3 linked regions of the Oryzias latipes genome follow. Each later gene encodes a partner of the first gene's protein in a complex. Links are inferred from orthologs where the notes say so. Each region holds a gene or a part of one and is shown on either strand. Other genes may lie near its edges.

The links. The genes of interacting proteins can lie anywhere in the genome.
Region 2: eif3i (region 1) and eif3g share a complex: the UniProt entries of both Homo sapiens proteins name them as parts of the eukaryotic translation initiation factor 3 (eIF-3) complex. The link is inferred for Oryzias latipes from reciprocal best matches to the Homo sapiens genes EIF3I and EIF3G.
Region 3: eif3i (region 1) and eif3k share a complex: the UniProt entries of both Homo sapiens proteins name them as parts of the eukaryotic translation initiation factor 3 (eIF-3) complex. The link is inferred for Oryzias latipes from reciprocal best matches to the Homo sapiens genes EIF3I and EIF3K.

The regions. Positions count from the first base shown.
Region 1 is NC_019869.2:26,646,289-26,650,588, forward strand, and holds the start of eif3i (eukaryotic translation initiation factor 3 subunit I), read left to right. Parts: upstream 1-1,492; 5' UTR 1,493-1,630; coding exon 1,631-1,633; intron 1,634-2,287; coding exon 2,288-2,380; intron 2,381-2,450; coding exon 2,451-2,538; intron 2,539-2,618; coding exon 2,619-2,684; intron 2,685-2,766; coding exon 2,767-2,916; intron 2,917-3,061; coding exon 3,062-3,189; intron 3,190-3,263; coding exon 3,264-3,374; intron 3,375-3,448; coding exon 3,449-3,538; intron 3,539-3,608; coding exon 3,609-3,682; intron 3,683-4,300. UniProt on the Homo sapiens protein: Component of the eukaryotic translation initiation factor 3 (eIF-3) complex, which is required for several steps in the initiation of protein synthesis.
Region 2 is NC_019866.2:8,456,719-8,460,783, forward strand, and holds eif3g (eukaryotic translation initiation factor 3 subunit G), read right to left. Parts: upstream 2,810-4,065; 5' UTR 2,734-2,809; coding exon 2,711-2,733; intron 2,621-2,710; coding exon 2,574-2,620; intron 1,712-2,573; coding exon 1,620-1,711; intron 1,539-1,619; coding exon 1,479-1,538; intron 1,402-1,478; coding exon 1,297-1,401; intron 1,212-1,296; coding exon 1,016-1,211; intron 921-1,015; coding exon 810-920; intron 731-809; coding exon 594-730; intron 338-593; coding exon 231-337; intron 150-230; coding exon 134-149; 3' UTR 50-133; downstream 1-49. Other genes in the region: suppressor of SWI4 1 homolog, read right to left, coding at 4,043-4,065. UniProt on the Homo sapiens protein: RNA-binding component of the eukaryotic translation initiation factor 3 (eIF-3) complex, which is required for several steps in the initiation of protein synthesis.
Region 3 is NC_019871.2:2,896,859-2,901,005, reverse strand, and holds the start of eif3k (eukaryotic translation initiation factor 3 subunit K), read left to right. Parts: upstream 1-1,338; 5' UTR 1,339-1,455; coding exon 1,456-1,517; intron 1,518-2,373; coding exon 2,374-2,472; intron 2,473-2,552; coding exon 2,553-2,673; intron 2,674-3,290; coding exon 3,291-3,368; intron 3,369-3,459; coding exon 3,460-3,526; intron 3,527-3,607; coding exon 3,608-3,685; intron 3,686-3,771; coding exon 3,772-3,897; intron 3,898-4,012; coding exon 4,013-4,044; 3' UTR 4,045-4,063; exon of another isoform or gene 4,064-4,083; intron 4,084-4,147. UniProt on the Homo sapiens protein: Component of the eukaryotic translation initiation factor 3 (eIF-3) complex, which is required for several steps in the initiation of protein synthesis.

The DNA of each region.
Region 1 (4,300 bases):
TCCCTACATGTTGATAATAGCCCTGCAGCATCATGCATGTTAACATGTGTACTATTAAAAAAAAAACCTGTGTTTTATTAATGAAGCCCCTGCAGCATTAAAAGAAAAAAATTATAGTACCTACCTGTGAAATGTTCTGCCTTCCTCCTTCATGGACTCATTTCTCTGATTCTGGGAGTTGAAACCCGCACAATGAACTGGCATTTTGCAAAAAATGTGTTCACATGCATGCAGTGCTGCAGTGACTTGACCTCACCAAGATGGCGGTGCTCTCCTCCTATGTGGAACCCCGTGATGTCTCCTCTAGCGATAGAACTCAATGGTCTCAACCCCTTCCTTCTCATGTTCCCAAATAGGAAGTACCATTGCTACCTGATACAGTGGCCACTATGTTGTAACCAGTCGACAGTCCGAGTCGCTCTGAGTCATTGTATCTATGGCAACCACTGTCACCATTGCCATAGATACGATGACTCGGAGAGAATCGGACCAACCACTGTCGACTGGTTTCAACATGGCGGCGCTCGTATCAGGTAGCAATGGTGAGGGATGTGGCCTCCTTTCGTGAGAGCCGGAGGTACGGCTTTTCCTATGGGTGATGTCACAACGCCATTCGTCCAATGCTTTTACAGTCTGTGGTTCACCTTCATCCCAGACGCCTTTCCCCGCATGCAGCCGACTGGTCTCGTTGACGATCCAGGCGAGGCGCTGGTTTATCCCAAACACGACCTTTTGTCTAGCCGGCTTTCAAGTGGAAGGGGCGTGGCCTTCCAACAGGCTAAATTTTAAGTGGTTGCTATAGAAACATTGACTCAGATTGACTTGGACCTACTGTTTACTGACGATGTCTGGTTCCAACATGGCAGTATCTGTATCACGCAAAAATGTCAACTGTATTGACAATTTTTTAAAACTTTTTAACTGTTATTGCCAAAGAAAACGCTGGACACACAAAAAGGACGAAAATGAAAACGTAAAACAGCAGCTGTTGCAAAAAAGTATTTTTAAAATTTGGTAACTATGACGGTATTCAGTTTACAAACACAAACAGGTTTCACTTTAAAGCCGTAAATTTACGGAAAAAAAATTGTAACGTAAATTAGGGTTAGTATATTTTATTCAAATGTAGCCTACGTTTGTTCTCAAAATGTACACTGTGACTCTTGAGGAACATTGAACATTTAAGTGGCCTAGAATGTGACATTTCTTTTCTGTTTGTGTTTTTAACAAGTCATGAAAACACGAAGCATCAAAGTGTTGGTTCAGATTTCACACAGAAGCTCTTCTGGATTTTCCCTGTGTTTGGTTTTCTGTTCAAAATCCTTTTAAAGAAGATAAAAAGTAAAAATATATCAAAAATTAAAGCCATGGAAAATGTTACACGTGACACTCCCGCAGAGAATGATAAAGGTGTGCTGCTCTTCTCGTCCAGATAGTCGTGTTGGTTGTCATTATTGGTAACGCCGCCAGGGGGCGACGTGTCTACCGGAAGTTCTTTGGTTAGTGACACAAGCATTCCTTTTCCGGTGCAATTCCAGGGCGCCTGAAAACACGAGAGTCCCCCTTTCCTCTTTTCGTCTGAAGCTAAGTACCTCTTGTCGGACTTACTGGGGCCGTGTGGCTGACAGAAATGGTCAGTTGTGGCTTTTCTGAAGCTTTGTTGTGTTTCGGCCATGTTTGCTTTGTATTTGGCCTCTGGTTAGCTTAGCTCCGCAGTTAGCCGGTGTCGTGCTTGCTAGCAGCACTCATGCTGTCGGTGAGGCTGAGAAAGAATAGAAATCATTTTTATTTCTTTAGAATGTTTTTATTTTAGGCCAAAATCGGAGGTTTACGCGCTGTAACTGATGATTTTGTACAATTTTAAAAAACTAAAAGATTATAAACTACAAAAAGCACCAATAAATCAAACAATTTACCCTAAACTGCAATAATTAGACCAAATGTCATGAACTATTAAATATCAATACAAGTTCAGCCAAAATCTCAGAAACTGAACCAATTAATAGTTTTTATTAGAAAAATAAGGGTTTCTTGGATTTGTTTTTACTGAAGACCACATTATATCTCCCTGTTGATGACGTCATAGTTAGATTCTGGGACTGAAGGACTTAAATATGTTCATGGGTCTGAAAACAAACAAAGGGATGTGACTGTTTTCCTGCAGGCTGGTTGATCAGCTGGCAATTGTTTTTGATTGGTTACTAAAGATATGAAGGTTAACCTTTGTGGTGCTGCTGTGCAGACTGTCTAACGCTCAAACTAAAGGTTTTGTGACGTTTCCTGGCAGAAACCCATCCTGCTGCAGGGCCACGAGAGGTCCATCACTCAAATCAAGTACAACAGAGAGGGCGACCTGCTCTTCTCTGTAGCTAAAGACACGGTGAGCCCTCACCCCCCGCCACCCCCCCCATCTCCAGGTGTTTCGGACTCACTGACTTGTGTCCCTGCAGGTTGCAAATGCGTGGTACTCCGTAAACGGCGAGAGGCTCGGCACGTACAACGGACACACGGGGGCGGTATGGTGCGTGGACTGCGACTGTATCCTTCCTCCTGTGAGGATGAATGGTGTGCATGCTAACTCCTGAGGCCGCGGGCAGTTTCTTAACACGCCTTCTCAGGGGACACGAAGAACGTTCTAACAGGATCAGCAGACAACAGCTGCCGGCTGTGGGACTGCGAGACCGGTCCGTAAAATCCAAATGGGTCTGTGGTGTGAGCCAGTTCTATGAGCTCACATTCAAACAGAACCGTGTCTCCTGCTCACAGGTAAACAGCTGGCGCTGCTCAACACCAGCTCTGCCGTCAGGACATGTGGGTTCGACTTCAGCGGGAACATCATCATGTTCTCTACTGACAAGCAGATGGGTTACCAGTGCTACCTGAACTTCTTTGACCTGAGGGACCCACAGCAGATAGGTATGTGAAGTTAGCAGGAGCCTGGAGTTTGACGTCCCCGTTAGTTTGCTGCGTCTTCATCCCCCTCCACAGTGAAGCTGGATGTTCAGCTTCTGAAAAGCTGCTAGGAAAGTAATGAATCATGACTGAAGCATTCTGTCTGCAGAGGACAACAACCCGTACTTGTCCGTACCCTGCAACGAATCGAAGATAACCAGCGCGGTGTGGGGGCCGCTGGGCGAATTTGTCATCGCTGGCCATGAGAACGGCGAGATCAGCCAGTTCAGCGCTAAGGTTAGAGCCTTCAGACCTGTGTGTGGATTCTTTCTGAAGTGAAACTGGTTCATGTGCCGTTTCCCTGTGAGCAGTCTGGAGAGGCCCTGAAGAAGGTCAAGGAGCACACCAAACAGATCAATGACATCCAGTCCTCGGTGGATCTGACCATGGTCATCACCGCCTCCAAGGATAACTCTGCCAAAGTAACGACCGCTCCGCTGCTGAAGTGACTGTTCTGAGGAATCTCAAATCAACTCTGAATGTTTGTTTCTTTTAGCTGTTTGACTCCACCTCTCTAGAAAACATCAAAACCTTCAGGACAGAGAGGCCGGTCAACTCTGCTGCCATCTCCCCCATCAAAGACCACGTAAGAACCCCTCCTCCAAGTTTGAAAGAGATCAGGTGGATGCAGGTCAGTGACGCACATTTCCTCTCAGGTTGTGATGGGAGGAGGACAGGAAGCCATGGACGTTACCACCACCTCCACCAGGATCGGCAAGTTTGAGGCCAGGTGAGTCTGAGCCGAACGTCAGTCAGTCGTGAAGCCACAAACGCACCTTCAGCAGGAAGAGTTGATCCACATTAGCGTGGTCTCCATCAGAACGGAGAGAAACGTTTTCAGCCTGGAAGAACCCAACATCCAAGAGCTGGGGTTCTCACAGTTTTTGTAGCGGAGGGCCAAACCACGACACCGCAACTCCTGCTGCTTCATCACTGCGGTGATGAAAAGTCCCACACCGTCACAGCTCTATTCCAAACAGTACATGTGACGCGGCAACAATATAGTAGTAACAGCACTAACAGGGCTGGTTAAAAAAAACATACCAGTAAAAGTCACTGAGAGCAGCAGTAAATACTGAAACCATGGAAGTCTTCCTCCTCAGTGTGGGATTGGAATAGCGTCAGATATTCTTCACCACTCTCTCTCTCCTTCATTGTCATCAGTGTCACTCTGAGGTAAATTGTCTCCTGTTCTTGCTCTGTCCTCTCCGTCACGCAGCAGACCGGCTTTTCCAAACCCGTTGGTGATGGTGGATTTTTTCACACTGCTTTTAACTTGAAAGCTGTGTCATCTGCATTTCTTCTTGCATTTTCCATGATGAGTCTGTTCCTGCTATTCATTCACAAA
Region 2 (4,065 bases), on another chromosome or scaffold:
GTATAGAAATCAATCAAAAAACCTTAAAATTAATAAAACTGCAACGATATTTCTGAATTCATTCTCTTTATTGAAGCAATAGCCACATTTTACCACAATAGAATCTGGCATCTTTCTAGAAATCCGTTTGAACTCAGTTGTTTGAAGGCCTGTAAAGAGAATAAACAATGTTAGCACCAGTTTTAAAGCAATGTTTTAACACAAATACTTGAATGGGAGAAGAAGCTTACTTGGCCCATTCAACATTAAGAATAAGATGGTCATATCCAAATCCTGAGACCCCCGCGATGGCTCTGGCGGCATCCTCCCGACGATGGAAACTGATGAAGGCAAACCCCTGCAGGAAATGAGATGCAGCGTTAACTGGAGCGCGTCATTCGCTCATGAGAGCACACATCAACTGTCTATCGACATATTAATATCAGATGCAGACAGAAGGCAGCTCTCACCAAAAAGATCTTTTTGGCTTATATAAGTTAGGGTTAATAGTTGTGATTACAAACAGAACCATGATTGGGTTAAAGTAACCTATTTTCAGTTGAAACAAGCCTTCATAACTGATCTGTACTGCTTTTTTTGAAATGGCCTCTAACCTTGGACTGCCCTGTATTCTTATCCTTGGCCAGATAAATCCTTGAGATGGAGCCAAACGGTCTGAAGAGTTCCTGCAGGTCCGTCTCACGGGTGTCCTCCGACAGGTTGGTCACACGAATGGTTGCATTGTCATCAGCTGTGCAATCACATACAATTTCAAGGGATAAAGTTTTGCTGCTGAAAATAATTGTACATGTTTTGCCCTGAAGCCTCACCTCTGCGGTTGGGCTGCATGGACTCTCCTCTTCCCCGGCCTCCATCCCTCAGACTTGGAGGAACGTACTTCCCCGTCTTGCTTTGGGCGGGCTGAGCAGGCTCTGGTTCCGCTAAGGAAAGTAAGAGGAAGCAGGAGTCACTGGTGAGGTGTTTAGAAAAAAAAAATTCTCAAATAGTGTTTCTGAGAATAAAGAGCAAATGCTACCGGCGCCAGCGGGCTTTTCCTTGTCTCCGGTAGACAGTCCAAGCTGCTCAGCCAGCTCTTTCTGCATGGGGCCCAGGGTGTCCTTGTATGGACAGCGGGTGGTCCAGTGGTCGCCTTTACAAATACGACAGGACACAATCTTCTGTCCCTTTAGCTTGTTCATGGGATCCTCATCCTGGTCTTGAGCATTCAAATCCTGCAAAAAGCAAAATTAGTAAATCCACAAGGAAAGTTGGTTCACAACAATTAAGCAGAAAATAATATTTAATGCAAGTTATTACCTCTTTGCTGGAGATGAAAGTCATGAAGACATCATCACTGACTGTGGTGGTGGCAACATTTGGGCCAGGAGCATCAAACTCAGAGTTGCCAAACTTTTTCCAGTTCTGAAAAGAGTAAACTCACTGTTGCACAACAACCAATCCCACAAAAGTAATCCCAGTTTAAACACAACTCCACAAACCTTCCTCCTGGCAACGGCTTTTGATGCTTTCCTCGTCTCAATCTTAAAAGTCCGTACAATCTACAGAGATTGAAAAAGAATCCATGAAATAATTCAGTTGAAGCAGGTCATCACTTTAACCACTGTGGACATGCTGTTTACCTTATATTTCTTTCCATCTTCCTCGTCGATTTTATACTCTGTGATAGTTTTGATATTACCTCTAATCGTCTCCTTTGGGGAGGGAAGTGTGGCTGTCAATGACACAAAAACAAGTAGACAAATGAATTACAGCCTAAAAATTCTTAGAAGATATTTTAGGTCATTTAATTTTTTCAACTGGGTCTAAACAAAAAAATTAGTTCACAAAGCAGCTAATAAGTAATATGTTAATTTGTAACGAATCTTTGTATTGCGGTTTTTGTTTTTGGGTTGTGGTGATGCTAACATGTTTTATGAAAACAACAGAAGTAAATTTTGTATGCGTTTATAATGATTTATTAATTTAAAACCTAACAAGTAGAGGGCACAATAATATTTGGATGAATGGGCTACTTTTATCAAAATATTGTTAATAAGTTGTATTGCGCGTTTAACATAATTAATTACAAATATTTTGTATCTATAATTTGTGTACAGATGTTCCAACTACATTTTATCATTAAATTACATTGAATTACATGTTGAATTCACTACACACAACTGTCCCAATTTTTAACGGGATTTGCCAAAAGTCTCGGGACGGACATGAATTAAATGCGAGCCAAACACGAATATTTTGAATATTTGACATACTGCAAAATAATTAATTTGAGAGCAGTTACCGTCTCCTAACCTAACGGAGCTTGTTAGCTGCAAGCTTTTATGTTAGCCACATCGATGCTATTTTGACAACAGAAAATTTGCGCCAACAACCGTCCAACATGACATTTCTCTAAAACCTATTTCTTTTAAAATAAAAACAATTTTAACACGTGTATACGCAACGTTTTTCCCTGGATATATTTATTTTAAAAAGCAGACGAACACGTGGACATGAAGCCGGGTTAGCCGGCCTCCTTGAACCAAGCAGTGTTACCATAAATTAGCTTCAATGCTAACAGCTTTCTTTCTTACTTTCATCTACTTCCTCCTCGACTTGGTCGGCCCAGCTGGGCTTAGAGCTAAAATACAGAGAAGATAATCAACATTAAACCAGTAAAAAAGACATTTGTGACATATAAACACTGATGGAAAATCTAAATGACACTCACTCGTCGTACTCCACCGACGGCATCCTGCGTGTTAGCTTAGCTCGAGAAGGACCGAGCCGCGCCGAGAGCAGGTCGCTTCCGGAACTTAAACTTCAAAATAATAGCATAATAATAATAATAATAATAATAATAATAATAATAATAATAATAATAATAATAATAATAATAAAAGAAAAAACTTTTTCGCTACATGCATGGCACAAATCGGATTATAATCTGTTTTTTTTAATTGCCATCTGAATCTGATCAGTTATTGTCTGGTGATTGTAGTTCTCTGATTTTTCTAATTAAAAACAGATTTCTATTCGATAATTTGACATTTTCCTATGCGTTTATATACATTTTTATAAAGTGTTGAAATTTAATAAAAGCTACATAAAGAATAATTTATTAAAAAAAGACAATGAACAGATGATTGGCATTTAAACAAAAGACTTCAGAAGCGTGTAGTCTTTTATACACCTTAAAGCTCTGTTGGGCAACTCTGACAAGAATCAAACTGGATTATTATTTGTTATCTAAAGTTTGGATTCGTTTTGGGTTTTCTTCAAGTTGATAGATTTGTGCAATCGTGCATTGTTTCACATTTTTTTCCTACCAAATAGGTTTAGCCATCAGGCAATAAGTTTAGAATTTGACATACATTTTTGAGATAGTTGTAGCAGAACCACATCATATTTCATTTAACAATTTGATAAAATAAGTTGAATTTATCAACCTAAAATCAATTCAGACCACACTAGAAATTGTGTAAATGAAATAATTATTTATTCACTTACTTACAAAATCTATATGACAAAAAGAGAGGGATTTGAAGCAAGTTTGTTTTGTTCAGATGGAATTTATTTATTCTTTTAATCACTGATTCAACTATTTTAGAAACACATAATATATTAATTATGAAAAACTTTTACCTGAACATCTAATAACAAGTAAGAAATGATTGCACAAACAGCTTCATAACACAGAAACAGTTTATTTTAGACAGGTATGAACAGAAAAAGAAAAACGATTTGATGCATAACATGTGAGTGTCAAAGTTCAACATATGGAAGGCAAAAATATTAAAGAGTGTATATAAACTGTTATTGCAGATAAAACCTATAATTTACTCTTCCAGTCAGATAGAAAGTATTTTTTTTGACAAAAGCCACCAAAGCAGTACTTTCCCTGTCAATCAAAAACCCAACTAAAGTGTAATAGAACAAGAGACATTAAAACAATGGACACAAAACTGTATAAAAACATAGATTCAACAATAGAAAAGCATCATAAGCTATTGCAAGCCAGAGAGAGAGAGAAGGGTTCAGCTGTAAAGACATAAAGGGCTTCTTATTCCTGCATTCTGTCGTCTG
Region 3 (4,147 bases), on another chromosome or scaffold:
TGACAGTTTTTTTTTGTGACTATTTAAATTTTTTGGCTCTCTTTTCATTCTTTTAGTTTTATTGTTTTGTTTTCCTGTTTCTCTTTATTTATTGCGCTCATCTTCCGCCGTTTTTCGGCAGTTAACCCCTTCTACAATTTTCAACTATTTTTAACCATTCAACTATTAAAATGTTCAGCTCTTTCAGCTTATTCCTGCTATGGCTTTTGGTTTTTCAAATCCTTCAACTTTTCAAGATATTCCAGGATTTTCAAGGATTTATCTCCATTGAAATACACAGGGAAGTGTTGGTGCATGAGGTCGCTGGTTCAAGACCCCGTTCGGACGTTTCAAATTTTTTAGTTTAACTTAATTTCTTCCGTTTTGAGAAAAAAGCTTTCGTTGTAGAAGGATTTAAAAAGAAAAGAAGGAAATATTACTGAAAGAAGGTGTTTGATAGTTTTGCATCTTTTCAGACTTCTCTTTATTTTGATGTGGCCAACATGTTGCGTCTTATTCTTAACACAATTTTTAAAAGTTAGATTTATATTTTTTCCCTTCTAAATGTAACCAAAAACACTAAAAGACAGTTTTAGAAAACAAAATTATGTCTGAGAGAAAAAAAAAACCTTTTCATGTAACTAAACTGAAAGGTTGAATGACAAGTTTTTCAGTTTTTCTTCTTTGTTTTCTAGAAATGTAGAGATTAAAACAACACAAAATGAATACACAGATGAAGTGGCTGACATCTCACAAAGGTCTATTTTCAGAGCAGTGTTTACAGTCACAACGCTTCAACAGCAAAGCCAAGAGGGTGGAACTTTTATTTTATTTTTTATGCATTACTCATCTCCTCTCTGAAAGGCCTTTGAGGCCAGACTAAATGTTCTCTGCAAAAGACAAGGTCATCAAGGCCAAAGAAACTCAATTTTTTGGAACCTGAAGGTCTGTCTTGGCTCCATCTGCACAGTAGTGTGAGTTGCTGCTTATTGAGAAGCACCATATCTATAATGGACCTAAATGTGTATTGTTTCAAAGAGTGGGGAAGTCAGTCAAAAAATATATTTTATAAAAAAAGGTTTCCTTTTCCAAAATGCAGCAAATAACAACCTTACAGAATCCATAAAATGCACAAAACTTTTTAGATTCTCAAAATTGAATACACTGGTAGTTTCAAAGTGGCAGTAATGAAATACAAATCTTTTTTATGATTTGTTTAAGGGTTGGAAGTAATGCCATCAATTTAAAAGAAACTTTTGATTTGTCTCCCTCAAGTAGAAAATCAGACCAGAAAAAAAGTCAAACTTGTGTACGGACTTTTATTTTGGTAAACCCGGTTCTCTCGCATTTACTCAGTTCATGCTTCCGGTCCGACCTCTTTTCCCTTCCGGCTTGGGTCTTTTTCTCTTTTAGCGGTGCACGTGCAAAGATACATCTGTTTTTTACCTGAAAGTATTTTGTTAAACATCTGGAGAGATGGCTTCGTCGTTCGAGCAGATGAGGGCGACAGTAGGGAGACTCTTACGGGGGATCGACAGGTATGAATCCAACGAGAGAGAAGAGGAAAACGGGCGCGAGGGCTAGCTTAGCTTCTTGTTTGCTAACGTTTGAGAGACTCGTCGAAATTAAAAACTTTCAATTAATTTCTTTAAATTGAAGTTGTTTTATCAATGTCATTTGCGTAAAAAAATGTTTTACATTTATTTTTTAAATGTAAATGCCATAATAGATTGGCTTTACTTTCAGGATCTTGACCGGAACCAAATACTTAAGTTAATTATTAATAGACCCTAATTTAGAGGTAAAGTTACTCTTAATAATCATAAAGAAACTGAACATCAGAAAGTATTAAGTGCAGAAACAGATTCATTTAGGTAAATTAATTATGCTATGGATGCATTAAGATGATCATATCGATCTGTATGTTGTTGCTTTGTGATGACTGATCAACTTAGACAGATGTGAGTTGTCTTTTAAATAATGTCCGTACAGATAAACTAAAGGTCTGATTTGAAATATAATAATGCAATTTAATTCCACCATAATAATAAAAAAATCAATAGCATTAATATTTTTTAATGTAATACAGCTTTTAAATCATAAAAAGTTAATTTTTTTAGTTTTATTTTGAAACGGTTTTCTACCACTAAACTATTAAAAAAATAATGAACTGGTGAATCAAAAATGTAGAACCCGCTGGGCCTTAAACTAAGTTTGATTTCTGTTTTGATGCTGTGAAGGTCTCTTTGTTTGGGGGATTTAACCCCTTTTTATTGCACATCTGTGGGCTGACTTTCTCGTAAAAATGCATGAAAAACATCCCAGAGGACCAACGTTCCTTACAGTAGCAGCAGTTATGGCTTGTAAACTCCCAGCTTCTGTGCATCTTCACAGGTACAACCCAGAAAACCTCGTCACACTGGAGCAGTACGTGGACACGCAGGCCAGGGAGAACGCCTACGACCTGGAGGCCAACCTGGCCGTGCTGAAGCTGTAAGCTGCCGCTGCGTTCGGGTCGGTGCGACGCTCGGGTTTCCCGTCGTGAGATGACAGATTCCCCTTTGAACCCGCAGGTACCAGTTCAACCCAGCTTACTTCCAGACTCCGGTGACCGCGCAGATTCTGCTCAAGGCGCTCACCAACCTGCCGCACACAGACTTCACTCTCTGCAAGTGCATGATCGACCAGACACACGTATCCTTTTGTTGCTCTTCAGTCTGAGATCAGACCAGCTTCTGCTTCGTTATCTTCTAAGGTTTTTAGTGTTTCTGTCAGTTTAAAGTCCCACTCCGATCATCTTCTGATCTATTCTCAAAGCGTTCCCAGTGGTTTTTTTAATTATGATTATAACTTTTTCAGCCAAAATAAAAAAAACACTGTTGTTTTCTTCTGGCATAGTTTCTGTTTATGATCTTCAACAAACGGCATTTTTCCTGATTCACGACGATTTAAAGAAAGAAATACTCAGAAATGCAGTTTTGAGCTTCATTTTCTTATTATTCGTCGTCAGAAAAACATGTTAGAAACATTGGAGTGGGTCTTTGTGGTGGAGAGTCTTCTGGTGGACACCAGGAACTCCATTTTCATTGGAGGGGGTCTGTAGTACCAATATAACAATCAGAGTCAACCCCGTTACTGTTGTTAACTTTGGCCACTTTTTTTTTTCAAATGTGAATAAAAGCTGAGGTTTTTCTTTTAGCTTTTTAACAGCGAGGTCTCATTTCTGGAGAATAACTAGCTGGTTGGTTAAAAGTGAATAATTCTTAGGTTGACCTGGGATGGGGGGGAGTGTTTCCTTGACTACAGTGTCGCAGCAAGAGGAGCGCCCCATCAGGCAGATCCTCTACCTGGGGAACCTGCTGGAGACCTGCCACTTCCAGAGCTTTTGGGTGCGGTGCAGATCGTGTTCTCGGATCAGATCTCCAGACTTTGGAGTCTGTGAAGAAATGAAACTTTTCTCTGGCTCTTCTCTCCTGTCAGACGAGTCTGGAGGAGAACCGGGAGCTCATTGACGGCATCGCCGGTTTCGAGGACTCCGTTCGCAAGTGTGAGTATCGCCTTACAGGAGACGACGACGGCTCTGACCCGAAGGAGACACGTCTCTGAGCGTCTTCCTCCTCCTCTGCAGTCATCTGCCATGTGGTGGGCATCACCTACCAGACCATTGACCACCGGTTACTGGCTGAGATGCTGGGAGACCCGCTGGGTAAGAACCGATCCACCAGATCCGCCGGTTGATCCGCCGTTGGCGACGGTCGGAGGTGTTGAAGCTGCTTCCGCTTCCTGCTGCAGACACGCAGGTGAAGGTGTGGATGAACAAATACGGCTGGACGGAGAACGAGGACGGGCAGATCTTCATCTACAACCAGGAGGAGAGCATCAAGCCCAAGAACATTGTGGAGAAGATCGACTTTGAGAGTAAGTCCAGCTTTTATTTCTGGAGATCTCCGCCGAGACGAAGCAGAACCTTCCAGGTTTCACGTGTTTCGTCTCCCGTCTGAAGAAGTTCTCCTGCTGTTTGTTTTGTCTGCAGGTGTTTCCAGCATCATGGCCACATCTCAGTGAGAAAAACAGCTTAATAAAAGTAAATTATCACCAAAAACCGATGGATTTGTCTGGTTTTAATGTGCACTTTTTGCTGTTTCATGTTTATTGATGTGCTGAGTCA